2 linked regions of the Mus musculus genome follow. The protein of the gene in region 1 interacts with the protein of each later gene in a pairwise test. Links are inferred from orthologs where the notes say so. Each region holds a gene or a part of one and is shown in the gene's direction. Other genes may lie near its edges.

The links.
Region 2: the proteins of Zfp385c (region 1) and Psma3 interact in a two-hybrid assay, tested with the Homo sapiens proteins (2 studies listed by BioGRID). The two-hybrid records come from large-scale screens. The link is inferred for Mus musculus from reciprocal best matches to the Homo sapiens genes ZNF385C and PSMA3.

The regions. Positions count from the first base shown.
Region 1 is NC_000077.6:100,636,850-100,640,506, reverse strand, and holds part of Zfp385c (zinc finger protein 385C), read left to right. Parts: exon of another isoform or gene 1-737; coding exon of another isoform or gene 738-744; intron 745-2,614; coding exon 2,615-2,763; intron 2,764-3,657.
Region 2 is NC_000078.6:70,991,520-70,994,053, forward strand, and holds part of Psma3 (proteasome subunit alpha type-3), read left to right. Parts: intron 1-95; exon of another isoform or gene 96-536; intron 537-1,493; coding exon 1,494-1,561; intron 1,562-1,986; coding exon 1,987-2,051; intron 2,052-2,534. UniProt on the Homo sapiens protein: Component of the 20S core proteasome complex involved in the proteolytic degradation of most intracellular proteins. This complex plays numerous essential roles within the cell by associating with different regulatory particles.

The DNA.
Region 1 (3,657 bases):
CCGGCTCCAAAGCACGCGGACGAACGCTGCACCTACTATAGTGTGGAGCTGCTTGGGGTACTCAGAGGCTACGCTGCGAGGCTTGGAGCGCCACCAAAAGGCTTTCCCGGACGCCGTGCGAAGGGGACTGCGGGACTCCTTCCCGGGACCCTCGCAGGATGCGATGGCCGTGTTGGCCATCCATCTCTGCAGCTACCCGCAGGCACCTGAGGAACTGTGCGCGACCGGTATGGTGCGCCAGCGCGCTGGGGGACTTGGCGTTCTTGGAGCCTCGGGCGCCTCTGCCGGCGCGCATTCGGAGCTGCAGGAACTCTTTCCCCGACAATCGCGTCCTTGCCACCCTGACCTTAGTGCTGCTCGTGGGTGCGGAGCTGCTGGTCAAGGTGGGCTGCACCCACGAGCTGCGGTCGTGGGGACAAAGAGGAGTCGTGGCGGGCCGCAGGTGGTGAAGATCGCGGTGGATGCTACCCCTCTCCTCCAGCTGCATGAGTTTGACTCTGCATTGGCGTGGAGTTCTCAGAGAGTGGGTGCGGGAGGGACCTCTGGGGTGGCACTTCTCCTGAGAGTGGCCTCCCCTGACCTTAGCTAACCGAGGGGCCATGAAAATTGAAGGGTGAGATACGCAGCCTTAATTATACTACAGCCAAGCTGACCTACTAACTGCTCTTCTCTTCACCTACTCATCACCAAACCAGATCCCTGGCCTATGAGGAAAGAGCCTGGGCAAGTAGGTTGAAATGCTAGGTAAGATCTAGGCAGCGCTGCCTATCCCGCATCCCCACCACTACCACCCTATCTACCCGCCCCTTCTGGCCTTTCAGACTTTCCCTTTCTGGATCCTTCCCTTGGGTTACCAGTTTCCATTAAAGAAGGTTGGGCCTAGCCGGGCAGTGGTGGCACACACATGCCTTTAATCCCAGCACTTGGGAGGCAGAGGCAGGCGGATTTCTGAGTTTGAGGCCAGCCTGGTCTACAGAGTAAGTTCCAGGTCAGCCAGGGCTACAGAAGAAACCCTGTCTCAAAAAAATCTTTTTCCCTAGGAGATGGTAAACCAAATGACAGAGTGCTTGCTCCTGACATAACACAACACTGTCTGTGAACAGATAGGTGAGAGCTCACCCTCAGTGAGCTCCCCCTCCCTCCCATCCTCCACGCTCCCCCTACCATCTGCCACCTGCCCGCTTTCCTGTATCTGGCTGTGATTATAGGCATTACATCTACAGATGCTAAATAAACCCATCTGGTGTTTCAGGGGGTTAACACCCAAGAATTGAAAGGCACTTCTTTTGGTTTGGCAGTTACAGGACCCAAGTAAGTCTCCAGTAACCTGGGTTGCTTTCTGCTTTTTTGTTTGTTTGTTTGTTTGTTTTTCGAGACAGGGTTTCTCTGAGTAGCCCTGGCTGTCCTGGAACTCACTCTGTAGACCAGGCTGGCCTCGAACTCAGAAATCCACCTGCCTCTGCCTCCCAAGTGCTGGGTTTAAAGGCGAGCGCCACCACCGCCCAGCTTGCTTTCTGCTTTTATTTTTCCCTTTCCTCCCTTGAAATCTGGTTTGTCGGTTTCCAGCCCCTTTCTGCCTTTACTTCACACTGTTAAGACCAAAGACTACAAAACCACAGTGTTGTTCCCGTGGGTCCTGAGGACTGGCTTGGGGGTGTCACCCTGGATGCTGGATGGGGTGCATCCTCAGAGAAACAGCAGGTACCCCACCAGCACTGGGAACCCAACTGTTCAGAATGCTGTGGGTTTCTTTCTATCTTCTTAATTTTGTGGGACTTTTGGTTTGGTTTGGTTTGGTTTGGTTTGGTTTGGTTTTGGTTTTTTCAAGACAGGGTTCTCTGTATAGCCCTGGCTGTCCTGGAACTCACTTTGTAGACCAGGCTGGCCTTGAATTCAGAAATCTGCCTCCCAAGGGCTGGGATTAAAGGCGTGCGCCACCACTGCCTGGCTTTGGGGGACTCTTAAAGATTTACTTGATACATATAAGTGCAGACATATATGGGCACCACGTGTGTGCCTGATGCCAGCAGAAGTCAGAAGCTGACATTGGGTCCCCTGTAACTGGAGTTACAGTTGTGAGCTAACATGTGGGTGCTGGGAATCAGACCCAGGTCCTGTAGACTGGCCAGTGCTCTGACCAATGTGCCATCTCCCAAGTCCTATGCTTTGGGTTTCTTTTCATTCCTTCTGTGAGTGGCATGAAACCGGAAGTGAGAAAGGGACAGTTAGTGAGACCAAAAAGAGTTGGCCTTTCCCCGCACTCCCTGAGTTTGGTGCTTTGGGATCAACTGGGACAAGTAGTGTGTCATGCTGTCACCCTGTCACCATGGTTTTGTGTATGTCAACCCTGACTCCTCTGACCCCTCTCTTGGCTGGACTCCCTTTGGTGTCTATTTGGGCCACAGTGCTGACCTTGTCAGTAAGAAAGGGTCACTCTTCTGCTTAGGAGACTTGAGCTGTGGACTCCCGGACTCTGCTTCCACAATGGAGTTGGGATGGTGCCGTTATGAAGAGGGAGCGGGAAGTTCCTGTCTTGGCCCTTTGTTCTGGCAGCAGAGGTGGGAGAGAGCCCCGTGGCTCCTCATTTCAGACCTTGCCCTTCTTCCTTCTGCAGCAGGTCCGGCCTCCGGCTCCCCCAGCCCCTTGTTGGCCTCCCTGACTTTGCCCGCCCGGCCTCTGCAACCCCCGCTGGACCTGAAGCATTTGCTCGCCTTCCACCTCAATGGCACCACCCCGCTCAGTCTCTTCCCCAACTTCAGCACGGTATGGGCCGGGCAGGAGGGTGGGGGGTATGTGCAAGGAAGGGGGTTGGGCAAGGAAGATGACTCGGCTGGCCCTAGGTGCTATCAAATAAGGACCAGCTGTCACCTACCTAGAGATGAGGATGATATCATCCCTACCCCACCATCACAACTGTTCAGAGATGGTGTTTTTTGTTTTGTTTTTGTTTTTTTCTGAGACAGGGTTTCTCTGTATAGCCCTGGCTGTCCTGGAAATCAATTTGTAGACCAGGCTGGCCTTGAACTCAGAAATCCGCCTGCCTCTGCCTCCTGAGTGCTGGGATTAAAGGTTTGGCCACTGCACCTGGCGGAGATGGAATTTTATGGATGATCCGTGTGTGTGAGCTATGTGTGCCCATGGGCACTTGCGTTGGAGGTTAAAGATTATTTTATGATTTCTGTATTTAGTTATGTGCGAGTCGGTATGTGTTCACATGTGTGCGCAGCAGCCAGAGGAGGTCACTGGATGTCCTCTGTGGTCTCTCTCTGAACTTGGAGCTCCTGTTTTCTCAGCAAAGCAAGAGACCGGTGTGTTGAGGTTTGGTTTGTTGCTATGTATTGTAAGGCTAAATACTGACCCTGGTTGCCCTCAGGGACCAGAGAAAATCCTCACATACACCAAGTAATGCTATCTGACCTTGCTCTGTCATTTAAAACTATTATTAGTTGAATAAAGATGCTGACAGCCTAGATCTGGGCAGAAGAGAGGTAGGTGGGGTTTCAGTTTCCCGGGGTTGGTGTCTGAGGAGGACCATGAGAGAGGAAGAAGGTGGGTAAGGAAGAACAAGGAGGAGAGAGGAGACTCGCCAGGAGAGGAGAGGCAACCAGGAGAGGAGATGGACCGTGAGCAGATGGCCAGGAGAAACAGCAAGGATTT
Region 2 (2,534 bases), on another chromosome or scaffold:
AATTTTAAAGAATGCAGACACTTGCTGTTAAAATATTGTGTAGAGTACTCGCTTTCTAGCTGCCTTTTCAGGTAAACTACACAAACTACAGTATTGCTGAATATGGTTCTTTATGTAATAGTATCTTTCAGGTTTTGCATTTGATAATACAAACAAGGAAAAAAATCTGGGTTCTATCATAATAAAAGATGGTGCCTATAATCTCTCACAAAGGGATTTTGTTTCTTACTATTCCCATTCTTACCAAGACTCATCTCTCTTCATTTACCTTCTGTTATGAAGCAGTCTTCCTTTTTTAAGTCAGTTAAGAACCATATTACATTGGAAAGTGAAAGTAATTCCTTTAAATAGTTTGAGTATGGTACAATCCAGGGTCTGTTGCTGAAATAGTCTTTGAAGTTCCTGTTGGAAGTCAACCCTTTGGCACCTTTCATAGTTTGTGATTGGTAGTACTTGTTCCTCTTCAGAAAGCCATCTTTTCATCCTTGTAACTAAGGTGCTCTCTTGTACTATACAGCAAGGCTTTAGCAGAGCCTCTAAAAGTAAGAAAAGAAACAGAAAGCTTTGTTTTTCTATCATAGGGAGGTTTTTGTCATTTTGAGGACAGCCTCAGATTCAGGAGTGTCCTGCCTTAACCTCCTGGGATTACAGTCATGAGCCATTGCTGCCAGCTGAAGCTCAGTTGTTTACTGTTACTGTAACTGCTTGTGTGCCTTCTTGTTTGTAATGTATTACACCATAAGAACCAGTTTGAGTGGCATTGACACTATCTGGACAGATGGTTTAAATTACTGGTTTGTTTCTGAAATATGTTTACAAATAGAAAAAATGGGTATCATGAAAAGGCATATGGTCTTTCTAATTTGAATCTGTTTTCTTTCTGAGATGTCTTTTATTTGAAGCCTTAAACCATTATCAAAATAAACAACTTTTTTTTTATTTGGGGGGGGGGGGGTTCGAGACAGGGTTTCTCTGTGTAGTCCTGGCTGTCCTGGAACTCTGTAGACCAGGCTGGCCTCGAACTCAGAAATCCGCCTGCCTCTGCCTCCCGAGTGCTGTGATTAAAGGCGTGCGCCACCACGCCCGGCTTCAAAATAAACAACTTGAGAAATAGAAGTATATCAGTATTTGTAAAGAGTGTCTCAATTCCAGTGTAATTTCCCATTTTAAGGAAAATAAAACTTTTATTTTCTGTGTATAAGTAGTTTGCTTGCATGTACTGTGTCTGACTGTAAGAGACTGGAGAGGGTTTTGGATTGGGGGAGAGGAGTGGTGGGGTTAGATGTGGGTTCTAAGTCAGCATTGTGTATGCTGAGAACCAAAGCCAAGTGACCTTACAACTGAGCATCTCTCCAGCTCCTAATCTGTCTTTCTAAGGTTGAACTAGGCTGGAGAGTATGTCATTTTATAAATACCAGGCACACAACGTCTACTTTGTACTCACTGTTTATAGAACTTGTGTTTATTTTGTGTTAATTTCTTTTCTGTTGTAGAATTTACATAGTACACGATGAAGTTAAGGATAAAGCTTTTGAACTGGAGCTCAGCTGGGTTGGTGAATGTAAGTTACATTTGTACATTTATTGTTCTAGAATTTATTTGCACTTTACGACAAGTTAATGAAAGAATTCTTGCCGGGCATGGTGGCACACACCTTTAATCCAGCACCTGGGAGGCAGAGGCAGAGGCAGAGGCAGGCGGATTTCTGAGTTCGAGGCCAGCCTGGTCTACAGAGTGAGTTCCAGGACAGCCAGGGCTATACAGAGAAACCCTGTCTCAAAAAAACAAAAAAGAAAAAAAAAAACAAAAAAAAAAACCGATTTATAAGTCAAGCTTACTGTTATTTTTAAGTGAGTTCACCTGTGAATAATGATTATTTGGGGGAGGAGGCAACAGGAAATGATCTCTATGCACTTGAAGATTAGGGCGAGTTCACAGTATTACAAATTATAATCCTCATATTTAATATATGGTTTGATTTTATAGTAACTAAAGGAAGACATGAAATTGTTCCCAAAGACATAAGAGAGGAAGCAGAGAAATATGCCAAGGTAAGCAGCAACTTGTTCTGAACAGGATCGTGGTAATGAAGTAATTTGGTTGATGTTTGCTTGAAATTAGGGTAAACTGTCTTTTAGATTACTGGTTTTTTTGTTTGTTTGTTTTTTTAAAGATTTATTTATTATATCTTAAGTACACTGTAGCTGACTTCAGACACACCAGATGAGGGTATCAGATTTCATTACCGGCGGTTGTGAGCCACCATGTGGTTGCTGGGATTTGAACTGGGATTGGACCTCTGGAAGAGCAGTCAGTGCTCTTAACCGCTGAGCCATCTCTCCAGCCCCTAGGTTACTCTCTTTAAGGTTATCTCTGGTGGGGATAGATTTGCCCTAGCTCTAAACTTTTATTTTTTATTTTTTGTTGTTGGTGTTTGCCTCTTTAAAAAAAGGAGTTGTCTCCTTGAACATTTCAGGGTTGCTGGGCATGGTGTATCACCTGTATTCACAGCAAAGGGAACAGAGGCAGGAACA